Saccharomyces cerevisiae S288C: one gene and its partners. The gene in region 3 interacts genetically with the main gene of each other region. Each region holds a gene or a part of one and is shown on either strand. Other genes may lie near its edges.

Region 1 (3,364 bases), on a different chromosome or scaffold from region 3:
AAGTACGCAAAACTCGACTGGAATGCCTTTTTTTCTTACTTCGTAGTTGTGAGATTTCAGCCTGTTGTAGTAATTGGCGGTATGGATCATCCATTGATAATCTAGGGGTATGTTCAGAAAGCGGCAAAACCACAGTAGCATCGCTGTCTCTATATAGAGAACCACGACGCGAGCTATGAGCTGTGATGTTGTTCTCAAATCTGAATATGTCGGGGTTCTTGTGGGGCAGTGAAGTTAGTGCGGTATCATCCTGTTTACTGTTAAAATCCTGTGCTAGCTGATGTGCCCTATCAATATGCGCCGAACTATTAGCTTCCTGAGTAAGTGGTTTATTTGAACGTGACATGTTTAACGGAGGTTTCATTTTCTTGAAAAAGCTGAGATAGTAACAGGTTCCTCTGTAGTATTAAATTTAGCGCTCTTCTTTATGTTCATTCTTTTTGTCCTGAAGTGGCCCAGAAGCCCTTCAAAGCAATCCTTTATTTTTTTAGAACTACGCGGCTGACGTCCTTACCTCGGTACGGTGATACAGCTATTACATTGGAAAAAGTAGTTAGTCAAAAAACAGGAAATAATACATAAAGTACAAACTCATATTGTTATACATTTTATATTCACAAGCTGAATGCCAAGGAAAATAGACAAGAAGTTCATGTACTTCATTTGCTCAACAGGTTATCGAATCTAGGTATCAAAGATTGAGCTAACGCAAATGAGAAAACCAGTTTTGGACCCGTTGTTAGTAATTTAGGTGTTAAGCCCTTGAAAAACGCAGTTACACCTTCATTTTTCAGAGTGTTTTTGACGATTCTCAACCCGCTTTCAGGATTATCAAAATTCCTATTTTGAATTCTTGTCTTGATGACATCTAATGGAGCAGAAACGATCAGAGAGGAGCAAGCACCGACGATGGAGGAGATGAAGTTTTGGGACCAAGTAGCTTGAGAATAATCTTTCAAACCCAAGATATACTCCTTGGCGAATGCATTACCACCAAAAAGGGCGAATGAACCGGGAGCATTTCTGGCAGCCGTCCACCCCCAACCCCTATATAAGTTGAACAGGCCTTCGTCTCTCAAAATCTTGATGAAACCTCTACCTTTAAACGATTCGGGATTGGTCTGTCTCTTAATCTTCAACACGTCCAGCGGCAAAAGAACAATTTCACCAATACCAATCAAAGATCCAGCAGCGGCGGATCTCATTGCCTTACCAGTCTTTTCACCGAAAAGATTATCAAAATCCTTTTTGTAGTGCTTATTCAAAAACTCGTTAGCAAAAGGCTGACCACCATATTTATACACTCTTTGAAGAACTTTGTATGATGCAGCGTAACCGAGACCCGGGAACAAGGTAAACAAACGTTTGCCCAAAGGTTCGCTGAAATGATCACGAAAAATAACACGATTCAATTCCTGGCCAGAGGTTATTTTGGTGTGGTTGGACATCAGTCTTTTGGAAATGGTGTCCACAGGATGGAAGACGGCAATTTCCATTATGCCTGCAGAGGCGGACCCCAAAAGACGAGCTAATCCTGATTGTTTCTTATCGGTATGAGGCATATTTCCCTTTTCTAATACTTTGGAAGATGCTTTGTTTGATATATGTCTAAAGGCTAAATATTAACCATCAAAAGAGATACACGATTTATATAGTCACCTCTATATATCTATGTCGTCGCTTTGTAGAAAATGTGACAGCAAATGCACAGTGACTCACGAGTTTTTGTTTTCTCGAGCTTTATCAAGAATTGCGATCGTTCTTTAATTTTCATTTTCTTTTTTTTTCGGGCAGTGGCGGCGGTGCTACATGCCATTGGTCTACAAGGAAACTGTGGCAGCGAAGATTAACGGTGGTATGTTTGCGATAGAGCTTCCTTTGCAGATAGGCGGATGCCGTAGTGATCTCTACCGCTTCGTATTTATATTTATTTATGTAGTCCTGAACAATGCTTTGAATCCGCCAAGCTTTGTGCCACAGGAGGAGTTGATGTGTCTAGTGTGACTGGTTCATTTGCCACCAATTTTGGCCGATCGTCTTTCTTTGCAGTCTCTTGAGATTTGTCTTTTGAAGGAAGTTGAGGACTGTCCGTGGGCACCCTTGGCAGAGTTTTCAGAGTCAAAGACTTCAGGTTGGCTATATGTGGTGGTTGTAGTCTTGATAAGTAGGATTTCCTTGATGAGTAATCAAGGTTTAGTGTTGTGCTCTTTTCGGAATATGACTGCCCGTCTGGAGCCGCTAATAGAAGCCGTTGAGGGGTGTTGTCAATTTCTTGATGGTTCGAATGCTGGGATAAGAGTAGAAGAGGCGCATATGTACTTGCCACAGCGGGGGCGAGTGGACACGATTTTTCGCTACCAAGTTTTTGGAATATGCCCAAATGGTGTTTGCGCTGGGCTGGTGGTAGCCGTTGAATTAATGATTGCACGTAACTCTGCAGTAGCTTGATGGTATTATTTTTTCTTTCTAAATGCAAGTGGGTAGTTCGGCTCCTCTCATCGGCCATTTTCTTATGCAACCTTAGATCTTGCAATTCCTGTTCCTGGATAGCGAACAAATCCTCTGGATTGTTTTCCTCAAAGGGGTCCACCAAAGTCACATTGGTGGGGATTTGTACTTGATTTTGTGTTTCTGTTTCTATTTGCCCCTTTGTTTCTGATTGTTGCGATAGTTCTGCTTGTAATGCTTCGATAGTCTCCCTCTGGTTAGCGATGCTTTTCTTGTAGGATAACATCGTGAGATTGGCTTTGTCGACCAGCTCAGGAATACATTTAAGATAGTCATCCTTTGCTTTAGCCTGCTTCTTCAAGTGCTCCAGTGATTTGGTTGCTTGTAGCAGTTGCATTTTCAAGTTATTCACTTTGATTTCGGAATTTTTTCTCACGTTATTCAGTTCTCGCCTCACTTTGGCCAGCTCTTTTGAGCTTTCTGCATCAAACACCTTGCTGTCTAAACTTAGTTCTAGTCCTTCGTAGTATTTTTCATGGAACGTGTGAATCTCATCTAACTTGGTGTTCACCGTGTTCTGGACGTTTTTGTAGTCCTGTAACTTGGCGCAGATTTCCTTCTTGAGATTAACAAGCAAAGTGTATTCATCGTAGTTGCGTTCTTCTTTGCTAGAGGGAAGTCGAACAAGTTCGATTCTCTTTTCAGCAGAGCTCTTGTGCGTTTCCTTTAACGCGTTGTTCTCATCCAGGATACTTTTCATTTTTCCATGTAAACTAGCCATCTTAATTTCATAGCCTATGATCTCGCCGGACAATAACTTGGCGCTAGACACTAAAGCGGCTTCATTTTCTCGGTAATGATTCACTAAAGATTGAAGCTCCTTGACTTTGCTTTTCATCTGCCTTAAAGATGACTT
Region 2 (3,470 bases), on a different chromosome or scaffold from region 3:
CACCACACGATGAACAAAGAATTGGAGATACCTAAAACCTCTCCAAACTCATTAAGAAAAATAGCAGACCTCCTAACTGGTAAACTTGGTCTGGATGACTTCCTGGTTTTCGATTTACGGAAGAAAAGCCCAAACTCTGTTTCAGCCGTTAATAAGTTGGGTGACTTCATGGTCATATGTACAGCAAGATCTACCAAACATTGTCATAAAAGTTTCTTAGAGTTGAACAAGTTTTTGAAGCACGAATTCTGTAGTAGTGCATACGTTGAAGGAAACTTTAATGAGCGACAAGAAAGTAGAAGAAAAAGAAGATTAGCAAGAAAATCCAACCTTAGTAAACTATTAGGTAGAAGCTCTGAATGCTCTGCAAAAGACTTAAATAGTGAGGCTTGGTATATGATTGATTGTCGTGTCGATGGTATTTTTGTAAATATTTTGACACAGAGAAGGCGTAATGAATTGAATTTAGAAGAGCTGTATGCACCTGAAAATGAGAAATCTAAGTTCCAAAATATAGATTCAGGTAATGTCCCTACTATTTCAGGGGTAAATGAAATTTCAAGCAACAATAATATTCTTTTAGGCCTAAGAAGACTGGCCCAGCAAAGGAGAAGGTATTCAACTATCAACCCAAACGGGCTAAGTAATTTAAGATACTTTCTACAAAAGGAAGACTTCAAAGGAGCCAATAAGATAATTCAGAGTAGTAGTGGTACTGAAACTCACAATATACGTACTTTGGAGCATGTTAAAAATACTTTAAAGGATTTGGTAGGACAAGAGAGGAAAGTAGATGTTGTTCAATGGAAGTCCTTATTTGACGAACATTCAACTTTTTTAACCATAAATCAATCGGCTGCATATTGGCCACTACGACTAGAATATGCGATACTTCTAAACAAAGCAGACCCACAATTTTATTCAGATCGTGTTTTCCTCAAGGATTATCTACTTTTAAAAAAATCGTTGGGGCAAGAGTTAATAAGGGAAGATCTAATCGCTCTTTTAGAAATGGTTTTGAAAACGCAGCATTCTAGTCATTCATACTTTAACCTAGTAAAGCAAAATAGGGTGATTATCAGAGCTTTGAACCTATTTAAAGGTCTACAAACAGAGGACGATGGCTCAGTTGTTTACGATGAAGTGGTAATATCCCTTCTTTTAAATTCCATGGTCGCGGATGAACGGGTAAAATTGAGATCACTCTACGAGACAATAGACCACATTTTCCAAACATTTGGAGATAAGTTGACTTCAGGCATGATTGTCTCAATATTGCAAAACTTGGCCAAAATCAAAGACTGGAATAAGCTACTTCAAGTCTGGGAAGCTATCACACCAACGGAAGGGGAAGGTCAGGACAAAAGGCCCTGGAATGAATTTATAAATGTTATCAATCAAAGCGGTGATAGTCACGTTATATCGAAAATCGTAAATAATGGTCATTTGCTATGGATCAGACGTTTAAATGTTAACGTAACTCCGGAGTTATGCAACTCCATTAAAGCGTTATTAAAAACCGCTGGAATGGAGAATTCCACATTGGAAGAATTCCTAGTCCGTGGAACAAACAATCAATAGTATTACCTGTATATAATATCTTAATCTCTCGTCGTTCGCCTTATTTATATTTGAATCAAATATTTAATTCTGCCACATGGTAGGTTCATTTTGCCGCAGATCAAAGAACACGGACCATCATGTCAAAAGTACACAATTTTTGTCTTTTCGAAACAATTTGGTTTAGTTATTAGGAGAAGAAAGAACGAATGATAATGCTCATTACTCAGACCTGAATGCAAAAAAGCCAAATCAAATACAGAAATGCACATAAATGTGAGAGGAACTAGGAAAATAATTTCCAACGTTTCATCCTTCACACCAAGATATGAATTTCCAAAGTACAGTATGCCTCTCACTGATTTCAAGGGACACCAAGTCAAAGCTCTTAAAACATTTGAAAAGTTGCTTCCTCAAATGAATATGATAATAGAACTACGTGATATACGTGCCCCGTTATCTACAAGGAATGTGGTTTTCGATCGAATAGCAAGAAAGGAACACGATGTGATGAAATTAGTGGTATACACTAGAAAGGATCTTATGCCCGGCAATAAGCCATATATAGGAAAGTTAAAGAATTGGCATGAAGAGCTGGGAGAAAAGTTTATTTTACTGGATTGCCGAAACAAAACTGACGTCAGGAATCTACTAAAAATACTAGAATGGCAAAATTACGAACTAGAAACAAATGGCGGATATCTACCTATGGGATACCGAGCATTGATTACTGGCATGCCAAATGTTGGAAAATCTACTTTAATAAATAGCTTGAGGACAATTTTTCACAATCAAGTGAATATGGGAAGAAAATTTAAGAAAGTAGCCAAAACTGGTGCAGAAGCTGGTGTTACTAGAGCCACAAGCGAGGTTATTAGAGTAACTTCACGGAATACGGAATCAAGAAATGAAATATACTTGATAGATACTCCAGGAATCGGTGTTCCCGGTCGCGTTTCAGATCATAATAGAATGCTAGGACTGGCGTTGTGTGGTAGTGTTAAAAATAACCTTGTAGATCCAATATTTCAAGCGGATTACCTTTTATACCTAATGAACTTGCAAAATTTGAACGATGGAAGAACAGAGCTTTACCCTGGAAGCACCAATTCTCCCACAAATGATATATATGATGTTTTAAGAAGGCTTCAAGTGAATAAAAGCCAAAATGAAAAATCAACGGCTATCGAGTGGACTAACAAATGGAGGTTGCATGGAAAGGGTATCATATTTGACCCTGAGGTACTGTTGAATAATGACGAGTTTTCTTATAAAAACTATGTAAATGATCAATTGGAAAAGTTAGGAGATCTTTCGTATGAGGGATTGTCTAACAAACTAAAAGGGAACCCCAATCAAGTATTCTAGTAAATAATATCCAGCATACATAAGCTTATCTAATAATTAGATCATTTTACAATGTGTACCGAGTAATACAAAGTTGAGGGGGGAAAAAGTGTTATAATGCTCAAAATACCTGTTCAAAGAAATCACCACCCAATTTCGGAAAGTCTTACTCCATTGGAAGCATGACTAATAGATTCGATTGATACACCACCCATTAACTCTCCTAAGTCACTAGATACTTCCAACAATTTGCTGGGATTGTCAAAGTGAGTGGTAGCCTCTACTACTGCAGTGGCCAACCTTACAGGATTAGATGATTTAAAAATTCCTGAGCCAACAAACACACCATCACAACCCAACTGCATTAACAATGCGGCATCGGCTGGCGTTGCTACACCACCTGCAGCAAAATTTACTACTGGCAACTTACCTTTTTCTAAAACATCTTTCAGCAAAGAAACTGGTACCCTCATTTCCTCAGCAACTTTTGCAATGTCATCTTCGCTCTTCAATTGTTGGCACGCCTTTATCTCCTCTGTAATTCTCCTTATATGCTTGACGGC
Region 3 (3,759 bases):
TATCACTACTCCAGATTCATGAATTTTTTCAGATTTTCGTAACATAAATAGCTGATGGAAACTGCTGGACATACTTTTGCTAAAGTTGGTACTAGACCTTTAAATAGACCTTGATAACCTTCCCTTTCTAGCGTCTTTAACAAAACATCTTTAAAGCCGTTATACACATAAGGATGTGCATATGTTCCTTGGGCTTGTAGTCTTGTTCTTAAAAGATTGATTGGATAAACAACAGAAGCTCCTACAGTTCCACTGAATGCACCCATTGGAAGTACAACCAGGTTGCTTAGAGTGACCTGATCTTGTGGTAGGTTCAGGGTCTTTGCCTGTTTGGCAATATACCATTTTTTTAAGGCAGAAAAAGTCCCCAAATCTAATGCAGCATAGGGAAATATGCCCACTATACCGACTGTGACACCTCTGTAAAATAATCTGACCCCCCCCCTCTCGAAACATATCTTTTGCAGTCTGAAAGAGCAAATTATTCCCCTTCAACTTTGTGTCCAAAGGAGCGCACTGCACCCTGAATTTCAAAGTATCTATAGGATAAACGGAAAACTGAGCTGCCATACCAGCTAAACCACCAGCAATGTAAGTAGAGAACTTTGAAAGATCTTTTGTGTCGCGGCAGCCTTCTAATTTGGTCATTATTTTCTTGGTGACCTCGAAAGAACCAAACTTTATCGAACTTTCTGGAAAAACTTTGATGACGTTTAAACCGTTCCCAACATAAAAAGCCTTTATCCCGCCTTGCCTATATAAGCTTTTGACAGCCTTTGCTAATGGAGATGATATCTTGTTTATGTCAGCATTGGGGTTTTTAGCAAGGAGATCTGTTTTTGAATTTAACAAGATCGAGGATAGATCCGTTCTTGCGATGAGAAACACTTTCAGTCTATCAAATGGCGCGGTACAAGTCCTTGAAATAACACCTGAAATACCACCAGCAATAAAAAACCCGAACCCGCGAATGAAATCGTTTATGAGAGTAACATCTCCCTCTGAGGACAGATCGACATCTTCGTTGAATAGGTAAAAATAGGAATAAGCAGTATGAAGTCTCGAACCCTGCTTTCTCGGTACCAGCAGCAAAAAGTCTCTCCATTGATCATATGTAACGTATAAATCTGAGTCGGTGGTTTTCTTTGACCGATCATTATCAGTATTCTTTTTGTGGCTAGCCTGGCCTCGTAGCGCAATGTTGGCTTTTCTCTTTGGAAACGCCCATTCAAAAAACCTCGAGAATTTGTTCATCTTTTCATTTGAAAGTTCATGATTAAGTTCATTATTACATATGCTCTGGTTGTCGAGGTCTGACAAATACCTATTTATTTCGTTAATGCCAATCTTACCGTCATGATCTAAATCTATCCTCTGGAAGCCGTTCCAAATTTGAGATTCGGCATTGGAAGCATACTTCTTGAAATCGCTTAAATCAACTACAGAGTCCTTGTTAACATCCATTGCAGTAAACAGCATTTTGATTGCCTCATCATTTCCCTTGAGCGGATGGTCGTTCTTCTCAAAAGCACTTATCAGATTATCTAGAGTAACTTGACCATTTCCCTTAACATCAAGTTCCTTGAACAAACACGCATACCGTATATCTCGCTGCTTGTCCGTCTCGCAATTTTTCAGCAGCATTTAGACCGTCATTCGATTGAATTAAACGTTATTTGCCCCTTCAAATATTCAATATTTCCCATCGCTAATAAAAAAGCTGCATTTTTATTTATTACTTTTTAAATATCATATTTGACGATCGTGTAGGACCCCTATGATTTAACATATCAAGAATGAATGAAAAGAACGTCAGAAACACAAGGTTAATTGCCTGTTATAATCAGACGATTGTAATATAACCATAGAGTTAGTGGGTATTGGAAAGGCCGGTAAAGATAACAGGGATCTCTGAAAAATGCCCAAGTTGGAACAATTTGAAATAAAAAAATACTGGCAAATCTTCTCGGGTTTGAAACCAATAGAGAATAAGGTAAACCATGACCAGGTTTTACCAATTCTTTATAATTCCAAATTAGATTCATCGGTTCTAAACAAGATTTGGTTTTTAGCTGATATTGATGACGACGACAATTTAGACTTTGAGGAATTTGTAATTTGCATGAGATTAATATTTGATATGGTTAATAAAAACATTAGCTCTGTTCCAGATGAATTGCCTGATTGGTTGATTCCAGGGAGTAAGGTGAATCTAATCAAAGAAAGAAAGAAGCGCAAGCAAATAGAAAACGCAGACTTGCCTCCAAAGAAGGAAATCAAAGTAGATTGGTACATGTCTCCAGATGATTTGAATCAATATGAAAAAATTTATAATAGCTGTGCAAAACTAACCGATGGTACTATTACATTCAACGAACTGTCAACAAAACTTTCCACAAAATTTTTTAACATCAGTAAGACAGATTTAAATAAGGTTTGGAGTTTAATTAACCCACAAAATTTGCCATCAATTGATAGAGATCCTACTTTTTATTTTATTCACTGTTTAAGACAAAGAAATGATTTGGGTGCTGAAATTCCAGCAAGTTTACCAAATTCTCTGGCGGAGGTGTGCAATAAAAAACAACTGAGCTATGATTTACGGTCCTCTCAACCTCCTACAAAGAGAAAAGAAGAAGCTAACGAAGTGGACAATCTGCGTGACAATGGGCAGAACTCGAGTTCCGATAGCAGTGGCAGTAACGTGCTTTCAAATGAAGACAGTATAAAGCAAAAATATGCTTCTCTGACAGATGATCAAGTTGCGAACATGAGAGAACAATTAGAAGGCCTTTTGAACTACAAAAAGAGTGAAAAAACTCAAGGAGGCTCAAAACTTTCTAAGCGGATTAACATCAGGTCGATAACTGATGACTTGGATAACATTGAACAGCAGGTTGAAGTATTGGAGAATTACTTGAACAATAAGAGACACGAATTGCAAGCATTACAAGCAGAAATCAATTGACACCGATAATTAATTTTATGTACATGAATGTGTAATATTTACTGTTTGTTATTTCACTTGTAAACTTTTTTGATTTGAACTTCAATCTATCCAGTAACGGTGTGGTGTATACTTATTTTTTCCTTTTCTTCTCTGCCGGAATTTCATAAAATTTTTACTGTTCAGCGTTCTTTACATATTTATATAATAGAATATGTCATATAAAGAAACAGTGACTTAGTTTCTGTTTTACTTTTTTTCTCCTATTTCTACCGTGATTTTGATTAGTTTTTTCTTTAATTGTTGCTATTCACTGTGCTTGTGTTAAATCTTGATGATGGTACTTGAACCCTCTGAATAATGATAATATACCTCTTTACAGTAACTATCTTTCTTTATTGGGTGCTTTTTAAATAGTTCCACTATTTCCATCATACTCATTCTCACGCTTCAGCTAGATAGAGCTGTTGTAGTAAACTCAACTGCTTTAGTGAATAATTTAAACACGTTTTCATCGATTAATTTCGCAGCATTTAGCTCCTGCATGACTTTTGAAATTTCAAGAAGAAATCTATGGGATTCGACAAACTGTTCATCAAGATTTGGTGTGGATTTGTAAGTGTTGAATTCAGTAGCAACTAAAGACAATGCATCATTCTTGGCATTACCATTGTGAAGATATTTTTGTAAGAAAAACTCCCACATCATAGCCATTATAGTATTTGGGGAATCTAATTTGAACGGTAAATATCTAACAATCTTTCTTGCCCAACCAAAGTTATCAAGTGATAATCTATTAAACTCGCCAGAAG

The links.
Region 1: mutations in SAL1 (region 3) and GGC1 are lethal when combined (synthetic lethality), as found in Saccharomyces cerevisiae (one study listed by BioGRID).
Region 2: mutations in SAL1 (region 3) and MTG1 impair growth when combined (synthetic growth defect), as found in Saccharomyces cerevisiae (one study listed by BioGRID).

The regions. Positions count from the first base shown.
Region 1 is NC_001136.10:102,990-106,353, forward strand, and holds GGC1 (Ggc1p), read right to left. Parts: upstream 1,563-3,364; coding exon 660-1,562; downstream 1-659. Other genes in the region: YDL199C (uncharacterized protein), read right to left, coding at 1-364; ASF2 (Asf2p), read right to left, coding at 1,928-3,364. UniProt on the Saccharomyces cerevisiae protein: Mitochondrial GTP/GDP transporter required for GTP uptake and GDP exit from mitochondria. Involved in mitochondrial iron transport and essential for mitochondrial genome maintenance.
Region 2 is NC_001145.3:458,882-462,351, reverse strand, and holds MTG1 (putative GTPase MTG1), read left to right. Parts: upstream 1-1,824; coding exon 1,825-2,928; downstream 2,929-3,470. Other genes in the region: ATP25 (Atp25p), read left to right, coding at 1-1,581; pyridoxine biosynthesis protein SNZ1, read right to left, coding at 3,051-3,470. UniProt on the Saccharomyces cerevisiae protein: Mitochondrial GTPase involved in assembly of the large ribosomal subunit. Plays a role in expression of the mitochondrial translational machinery.
Region 3 is NC_001146.8:469,262-473,020, reverse strand, and holds SAL1 (Ca(2+)-binding ATP:ADP antiporter SAL1), read right to left. Parts: upstream 1,645-3,759; coding exon 160-1,644; downstream 1-159. Other genes in the region: END3 (End3p), read left to right, coding at 1,919-2,968; MKT1 (Mkt1p), read right to left, coding at 3,398-3,759. UniProt on the Saccharomyces cerevisiae protein: Calcium-dependent mitochondrial solute carrier.